Linked DNA regions of Callithrix jacchus. The protein of the gene in region 1 interacts with the protein of each later gene in a pairwise test. Links are inferred from orthologs where the notes say so. Each region holds a gene or a part of one and is shown in the gene's direction. Other genes may lie near its edges.

Evidence for each region.
Region 2: the proteins of LPXN (region 1) and HOXC9 interact in binary tests that used the Homo sapiens proteins (3 or more experiments, as listed by UniProt). The two-hybrid records come from large-scale screens. The link is inferred for Callithrix jacchus from reciprocal best matches to the Homo sapiens genes LPXN and HOXC9.

What each region holds. Positions count from the first base shown.
Region 1 is NC_133511.1:116,038,932-116,043,476, reverse strand, and holds the start of LPXN (leupaxin), read left to right. Parts: upstream 1-1,679; 5' UTR 1,680-1,763; coding exon 1,764-1,776; intron 1,777-4,545. UniProt on the Homo sapiens protein: Transcriptional coactivator for androgen receptor (AR) and serum response factor (SRF). Contributes to the regulation of cell adhesion, spreading and cell migration and acts as a negative regulator in integrin-mediated cell adhesion events.
Region 2 is NC_133510.1:65,554,492-65,558,934, reverse strand, and holds the start of HOXC9 (homeobox protein Hox-C9), read left to right. Parts: upstream 1-1,397; 5' UTR 1,398-1,462; coding exon 1,463-2,000; intron 2,001-3,684; coding exon 3,685-3,929; 3' UTR 3,930-4,443. UniProt on the Homo sapiens protein: Sequence-specific transcription factor which is part of a developmental regulatory system that provides cells with specific positional identities on the anterior-posterior axis.

The sequences.
Region 1 (4,545 bases):
AAGAAGATGGAATCAAAATCTGGGGATCCAATTCTAAATTTCATATTAATCATTCAGTTAAACTGTGGACAAGTGCTGAAGTACATTTTTCCTTCCAGTATTTTGACTCAGATGCCACTTCATATTTGGACAAATGTTTTATATTCTCTACTGAGTATTTTGTCCTTTCATATGACTAATGTCATTTTCAGTTGTAATAATTGTTTGGCATAGTGTCAATGGAAATTTTTTCAGATTGAGTTTGCAGTGAGCAGACTTTTGGAAGGAACAGTACTGACATCCAATGGATGCCCAAAGTAATACAGAGGCGAAATCCCCTTTTAAAAAATTTACAGACAGTGGAATGGAGAATGAATTATTTCAAAAAAAAAAAAAAAAAAAAGGCCCCAGTGGGCTGGATGTGGTAGCTCACTCCCGAAATTCCAGCGCTTGGGGATGCAAAAGTGGGAGGATCCCTTGAGCCCAGAGCTTCCAGACCAGCCTGGACAACATAGGGAGACCGCCCTCTCTAAAAAAAAAAAATTTTTTTTTAATTTGAAAATAAAGTTCCTAAGCTAACCTAGTGGCGTGATGGCATGCACCTGCCATCCTAGCTACTCCAGAAGCTGAAAAGGGTAGATCGCTTGAGTCCAGGCGTTCTAGTTGGAGGTTACACTGAGCTATGAATGATGGCACCATTCCACACCAGCCTGGGTGACAGAGAGAGTGAGAGTTTGTCTCTAAAAAAAAAATAAAAAATAAAGCACTGTGTTTTAGAGGAAAGATCACAGACTTTGAAATCTGTGATTATGGTAGCAAAGCTACCAATTAATTATCTTAGCAAGTTACTATTGCATGAACGTATTTCACCATTGGTAAAAACGGGGATAAAATCTATTTAACAGAATTATTTAACAGGATGGTTCCTTTTTATAGTACGCTTTTTGTAAATGTTTCATTAAAGGTGAATAAAATCGTAGTGGTAAAAACGGTGAAGAGTTAACCTCAGTGTCACTTTCCAGAGAAATTGCTATAAGGTAATGTATCTAGGCAAGGATTATGCTTAATTGAGATGTATGCAGTTTAATATCTGGTATCAAACCTGGCTTCCTTCTTTGTGACCGCCCCCCATAGATGTTTGCATTTTGAACTGCCGAGTAAGCCAGGCCCCGAGAATCCAAGCATGAATCCACTGCTGCCTTACTTTTAAGGATTTACAATCTGTGCTGGAAAGCTGATAAGCATAATTTTTGAATAAGTACATTAAGACAACAAAATGGAATGGATACCTGATGGAATCCATTTGAATGGAAATTTTAAGAAGAAGACTATGCCTTCATGGTTCCCCAGCTTCACAGAAAAAAAAAAGGTAGATGCTCAGTTAGAGTGGGGTACCTCCACTTGGAAAAAACACAGTATGAATCTGCCATTCCCATGACTCCAAGATGAGTCCTGGCACAGAGTAGGTGCTCAAATTTTGCAAAATTAATTTTAAATCTCTATCACCCTGGCCAATGCACTACCATAACTCAAATCTTACTATCTACCTTTCTATGTCAGTCCCATTTATAAAACTGTGTAACCTATGAAAAAAAAAAAAAAGAAAAGAAAAAAAACCTCACCAAATCAAAAGAGAGGAAGTGCTAAGCAAATACAGGAACCAAAAAGGGTTATAGAGGCTGCCTTCTGCTGTCTCATTCAGTTCCTTTGTGGTCCTGTTGTTCAGCACATGCTAAAGCTGTTCCTCACGGCCTGTGAGACAAGAGCATCTTGGATGTAGGATAATGGAAGAGTTAGGTGAGTGAGGAGCTTCTCGGAGCAGAAACTCTGAGGGAGTGAAGACTTGGCTGCCATCTACATGTGTAGTGGGGTATACTTCTGGCTAGACCCAGGGTAGTAATGGAAGATTTTATTTTCACTTCTGTCCTCAGCCCTGCTGAGAGGGAAGCATGAGGAACTATGATTGTTTTGGGGAACTATGGGTTCACTGTTTGCAGTGGCAAAATGGAGAGTTTGGTGCTAACCGCAGACTAAACTCTTGGCAAATACTTCTGGACTGGATTGTGATTGAAATTGTCGTTTTATTATGAGCATTTTGCCCCATGAAGGTCACTGGAGATCATAGGGTGGCCAAATAGCAAGGCAATGCAGAGATGTGATTTGAGGAGGAAAAGAAAGAGCAGAAAAGGAGTTGGGGTGTTATGAGGAAGAAAAAAATGGACTCGAAGTATAAGAATGAGGGATCTGTAGAGGTTGGAAAAAGGCCAGAGTGGTTTCATTTGTTTCATGTTTTCGTCTTAAATCAAGAAGGCATAGCACTCTAACTCAAGTGATTTTGTTGCCAAGCTTTTTATTCAGAAGAATTCTAAAGTAAGAGATTACTATGGCCTGAAAATATGATACCTCCTTCCACTCCAAGGCAATTAAAACCAGCAGTGGAACTCTTAGCCGCATTATCCATCCAGAGAGATCCTGGATTTCAAACCTTTGGAGTAGTGTAATGTTTGTCATTCTTGGGACTCATTCCATAGCCTCTGCCAACATCTGTTGCCAGCATCTTAACTAACACTGAGTCACTAAACTTTACCCAATCTCCAAGCTGTATTAATTCCACAGTGTCCTGGTTTGGGGTGTGTTTGCGGATGGGGTATGTCAAAAGTGCAAAGAATGACAAAAAATATCTTGCTTATTGTTACATTGTCTTAAAAAAAATTGACATGTGATTTCAAAGTTGGAGAAACAGAGGAAAAATAAAGGGCAAATTAGCAGGAGGGAAGAGATGTTAATGGAGAGAAAAAGGTAGCGTTTAGTATATACCAAACTGCTTTGGAGGTTGAGTCTATCTTGATACTACGCTAGTCTCTATTTTGGACTTGGGGTAGAATCCAAATTCTTATCCTCCCTGAGTGAAGAATGTGAATTTCTCCTTGAGTTACACTAGGGCTAGGGCCTTTTTTCCCTTTCCTTTTTTTTTTTCTTTTCCTTTTTTTATTTCTTTTTTGTTTTTGTTGTTGTTGGGGAGGGGGAGTGGGGACACCTAATGGCTTTCATGGCAAATAATTTAAAAGGAAACTAATACTTAGTGACTGAAGAAAAACTAGACATTTTTACATATGTTGATAATTTTAGTGTCTGCAGCAACCCTCTGAAATAGGTATTTCAGAGGTATATCCACTTCTTTTTAAGATGAGAAAACTAAGAAAAAAGAACTAATTAATGTCACTGCCGGAACACCTGACACCAAAACTAAGCAAAAAGATGGTCTTCTGTTTTAGAAGTTTGTTAGTTCTGGTGTTGTGGCCAACAAAGTGACTCAGATTTAACTGACATTATATTATATTGTTTTGCATTTCCTGAGCAGGCTAGATGTTAGGTAAATCTTGTCCAGAAATACAGAAAGTACCAAGCAAGTAGCCTGGAAGCTAACATTTGTACAGATTATCCAGTTGGCTATATCTCCACAGGCTATTCATGGCTACACTTGAGTAGTTTCTTCAAATTGTCAGCTGCCCAGTAACTACCCTTGAGACTTGGGGTGGACCTTTCTTCCTGCTGGCAGAGAAATGGCATCTAGGACAGGTTGGCTCAAGTGAGCAAATATTTTCAGTCTGCAGTCGTACCTCAGAGGCTAGCAGCTTGTAACTCAGAAGGTTTTACCTAAGCCCTCATTACACAGGCATTAGGCATGATAGATAAAGAGGAACCAGGAGCAGACTGCCTCAAAATGAAATCCATACAACTCATAGAGACCCCCAGAGACCTCACTTTACTCGTTTCATGATAATATTGATATTATTTCATCTCCACAGGTAAAGGACCACAGAGAATAATTACAGAGTCTTCAGTCTAGTACCCTCTCCTCCCACCCCCCACTCTACAGGAATCCGGTATTTGTCATACTGAAATGAGTCATATTCAAATCACAAAATCTGGCAAAAGGCATAACCTCAGACTGTTGATGCACACTCATAAGAAACAGGAAGAAAAAAACCTACATCTCATAACCCAGAAAGAAGAGTTTTGATAACTTTGGTTAGCTGGTGCTTCTGAGGGCAACTTCCCACTCTTTGTGGTCTTATAACTTTTATTGTAAATGGCTTTTTATTTTGAGCTCAGGAGGATCTTTGGCTTCTAGTTAGAGCAGAGCTTAGAAAATAGAAAATCAAGCGACTCTAGCTTAATTGAGAGATGCAGAATAAAAAATTCAAAATTCTCAAATTTGGAGTAAAAATCTGAGGCAAAAAGTTTTCTTTCTACCTTAGTTTTCTTTTTATTTTCTTTGTCCTTCTTTTTAAAAACCTTCTATTATAAAGAAATTTAAGTATGCAAAAGTAGAGAAAGTAGTTTAATGTATTCTTTTTTTTTTTTTTTGAGATGGAGTTTCGCTCTTGTTACCCAGGCTGGAGTGCAATGGCACGATCTTGGCTCACCGCAACCTCCGCCTCCTGGGTTCAGGCAATTCTCCTGCCTCAGCCTCCTGAGTAGCTGGGATTACAGGCATGCGCCACCATGCCTAGCTAATTTTTTGTACTTTTAGTAGAGACGGGGTTTCACCATGTTGACCAA
Region 2 (4,443 bases), on another chromosome or scaffold:
CACACTGAGGATTTCCTGCTTGGCTAAAGCCCCCCTTTACTACACCACCATGGGACAGTCTGATGGAAAGCAGAGGGCTGGGCACAAATCCCCAGTTGAAGGAGGAGGGTAGCAACCAACTTATTGGGGGGAGGAATCCAAGTTGTCTGATATTCCTCTACAATCACACTGCCCCCTCTGGAATTCCTGCATCCGACCCCAAAGAAATTGCTTTCTCCCGTCCCTCCGTTGCTTTTTTCCCGTTCCAAAAACAGCCTACAATTTTATTTAATGAAAGACACATTTATGAACAATCAAATGATCCTCATAAAAATTTTATTGAAGGACGTAAAAACAAGCTACTTGCCCACGACCGAGGTCGCTCTCTCGCCTTGCCCGCTCTCACCCTGGCTCTCTGTAGACAGAGCCCGGGAGTGACTTCTTTTTTGGGGGGTGGGGGTAGGGGAAGTGTCGCAGAGGTGGAGCTGGGGGCGAAGGAGGCTGAGCAGGAAGATGGGGTGGGGACACCCCACTTAAGTTGTGTAGATCTCTCCTCCACTTCTTCAAGCTGGCAAAGAAAGATAAATACAGACAATAAGTTTAAAATACAGGCGCCTGTATATCTGTGCCAAAGCAAGGAGAAGACTTCTGAGGCTGCTGTAAAGGTGTATGAGATCCTGAGGTTCTACCCCTCCCACCCAGGAACCACCTTCCCCAGGCTTCCCCTTCCCCAGATTTGGGGGGCTGAGTTGGCCAGTGGCAGAAGAACGCTCCCCTTCCCTCCTTCCCTCCCTCCATCCCAGCTTCCCTAGTCCCCTCCCACCCTCCCTCCCTCACCGCTACCGCTGCTCCTGAAAGAAATACATACATACACACTATTTAAAAACGCATTTTTAAAAGCCACGTTCCGAACTGACAATCGCTGATCTCGGCTCGCGCAGACACTGCGGGAGCGTCGGGACCGACAGAGACGGATTACGTCAAGAAATAGTTCCTCCACCTACCTCGGTCGGCCTCCCCGCCCCTGCGGGGCTCCAGCGCCCAGCTCGGCCCTGGGGTCCGGGAACCCTGGCTTCGGGGACGGGCATTTTCACCCCATTTAAAAATCCTCATGGTTGGGGGAGGCCAACTGCTTATGGGTGGGCATGGGCACAGGGGCTTCCCAGATGAGCTACGAGCCGTCCTGAGGGGGTGACCGGTGCCTTGGGTCCAGAGTTCCGGACCCCCAGGAAATCGCAGGTCGCGGGGAACAGCGGAGAGAAGGGGGTGGGAGAGGGGGAAAAAAAACCAAGGAAAAAAAAAGCCCCTGCGCATTGATCCGCGCCGTATTTTTGGGTAAATACGATCACGTGGGGGCCGGGGAGCCAATGAGCTGCGGGGAAAAGGCTGGAAAAATAATTACCTGCCTTGATTGTTCTGTGAGCAGATAAAAAGTACATATACAGTTCATACAATAATCTTATGTATGTAAAACCCCGTTACGATGTCGGCGACGGGGCCCATCAGTAACTATTACGTGGACTCGCTCATCTCTCACGACAATGAAGACCTCCTAGCGTCCAGGTTTCCGGCCACGGGGGCTCACCCCGCCGCCGCCAGACCCAGCGGTTTGGTGCCGGACTGTAGCGATTTTCCGTCCTGTAGCTTCGCGCCCAAGCCGGCAGTGTTCAGCACGTCGTGGGCGCCAGTGCCCTCGCAGTCGTCCGTGGTATATCACCCGTACGGCCCACAGCCCCACCTCGGCGCCGACACGCGCTACATGCGGACTTGGCTCGAGCCGCTGTCCGGCGCCGTTTCCTTCCCCAGCTTCCCTGCCGGGGGCCGTCACTACGCCCTGAAGCCGGACGCCTACCCCGGGCGCCGCGCGGACTGCGGCCCGGGCGACGGCCGCAGCTACCCGGACTACATGTACGGCTCGCCCGGGGAGCTGCGCGACCGCGCGCCGCAGACACTGCCCTCGCCCGAGGCGGACGCGCTCGCCGGCAGCAAGCACAAAGAGGAGAAGGCCGACCTGGACCCCAGTAAGTTGGGAGCAATTTTCCTTTACAACCAGTGCGGGAGGGGAGGGGAGGACGGGCGGGGGCAGCCGGATTACAGCCCTCCCGAAACGTGCAGGGAGCGCGGGAGAGGGGCGAGGGCGAGGGCGAGGGGGCGAGGACTCAATAAAAGCGAATTACCTTGGGGATCTTTCAGGAGCAGGAAGGTCTGAGAAGGGGGCCCAGGGAGACAGGTTGGGAGAGGGCCGAGGGGAGCTCCTCTCTCAGGAGCTGGCTTTGATGAGAGACCCCTGCCCCCTCTTCCCAGCCCAGGCTTTTTGGCTCAGTCACCACTTTCGAAGAAATGCAGGCAGGGCCAGGGAATGGGGCTGGGGGCGAGGTTCAGTTTCTGATTTGAGATGGGATGGGGAAGAGGTGAGGAGGACACTGGGGGCACAGAGGAGATACCCCCAGCGAAAAGAAGTACCCCTGCTTCCCAGTTAGCATGGAGGTCGTCACCCCACTAGAGAGTTATAAAACAGAAGGTCCATGGACTTCTCCCCCAGGAGCACTGGGTGAGGGGTCTGGAGCATTTCGAAGCCTGGGAACTTGGAGAGACCAGGACTTTCAGAGAGAAGTGGGGACAAAAGTGAGGTCTGAGTCTCCTTAAACTTGAGAACCCTCTTCTGAGGGTCTTGGAGGGGAAGGGTTGAGAATGGGGGTCAGGGATGAGGAGTGGGCATCTCCCCAGATTGGAAAATTCACACACACACACACACTCCAATCAGGGAGACAGGCACCTTCTGAGGGTTGCACAGGAGGCAGGTTGGGGGCAGGTGGGAGCTGCAGGGCCAGAAAAAGGGGAAAGAAGGAGAAACAGCAGGAGAGGGGGTGCAGTCCCCTGGGTGTGAGGAAGTGTCTCGGGGAGTCCCAGGAGGGGGCTGCAGGAAATCTTTTCCTCCAGCCCGATAAGGGGCCAGGGCCTAATTATACCCCTCTGAAGGCTTCCCTGCCTGCCCTCAGCAACTCCCATAAACCTGAAATTGGAGGCTTGGCTCCTGCAGAGCCTGTCCTGGGGCTGGCAGGAGGGGGCACTGGAGGCCAAACAGGAAAACTAAGATATAGGGGAGCCTGTCCCCAAGGCCAGCAGCTCTCTGGGGAGAGGAGAAAGACTCTTCCCTTGTCAGCATCACCCTGAGAATTCGCCTCAGCAGGGTTGAACTCCGAGCAGGAGGAGGGTGCTGCAGAGGGTGGTGAGGGGCTTAGGGACTCTCAGGGTCAGGAAGCAGAACTGCTAAAATTTCAGGACTTGGTCGTGGGCTGGGAAGATGGGAGGGGGCAGAGGAGGAGGGAGGTGGGGAGGAGAGAGACCTTGCTATAAAAATAAAAAGCAAGAGAGAAGCGTTTATGGGCCTATGAAACGGTTGGGAATTTGGACTTTTTATGAGGATATTCTCAAATTACTACTCTTGAAGCTGAGGACCAGACTGGAGGGGCTTTGATAGCTTCGGATTTCCTACAGTTTTAGGTGCTGGAAACTGAAAAAGGGGAAGCTGAGGAGGGGACAGAATGCAAAACGAGGAAGGAGGAAAATTCCTAAAGCAAAATGTGTCCAAATTCAGGTTCAGTTGTTGCGTTTGGGGAGCCTGGTTAAGTCTGGGGGTACAGCAGCAGAAGTCCTGGGCTGGAAAGGGGCCCCACTGACCCCTGCTTGTGTTTGGCCCTCCAGGCAACCCCGTGGCCAACTGGATTCACGCCCGCTCCACGAGGAAGAAGCGCTGCCCCTATACCAAGTACCAGACGCTGGAACTGGAGAAGGAGTTTCTCTTCAATATGTATTTAACCAGGGACCGTCGGTATGAGGTGGCCCGGGTTCTCAATCTCACTGAGCGGCAGGTCAAAATCTGGTTTCAGAACCGAAGGATGAAGATGAAAAAGATGAATAAAGAAAAAACCGACAAGGAGCAGTCCTAAACCCTGCCCAGCCTGCTGCCTCAGCACAGCCAGGGAAAAACAAAACCCCGCAAAATACCCCAACCCAGGCGGGAGAGAGACGAAAAAGAAATGGAAAGAGCAAGATAGAGAAAAGCCAATCAGCTTAAAAAGGAAAAAAAAAAAAAAAAAAAAGGAAGGGGAAAAGAAAACTCTTGCGATTTGGGAGGGTTCAGTGTTGAGATATTGGTGTTTTAGAGTTAGTTCTACCCATCGAGGAGGAGGCAGGGAGAGAAGCTGCATTCTCTTTCCCCAGCGCAACTGAAATAAATGACACACGCAAATGTGATTTTTTTCCTCCTTTCTTCAGAGAAGCCAGTACTTGAATCGCTATATTTCTATTTTTTCCCCCTGTATCGTGTTTGGTCCAGGCCATCCCTCCACGGGCCTGGGGCGCTCTGCGTGCAGATTTTGTACAAAAAAAAAAAAAAAAAAAAAAAAAAGACACACACACATACATAGTAATGATTCCCAGTCCAGGAGCTGAGGGGCAGGG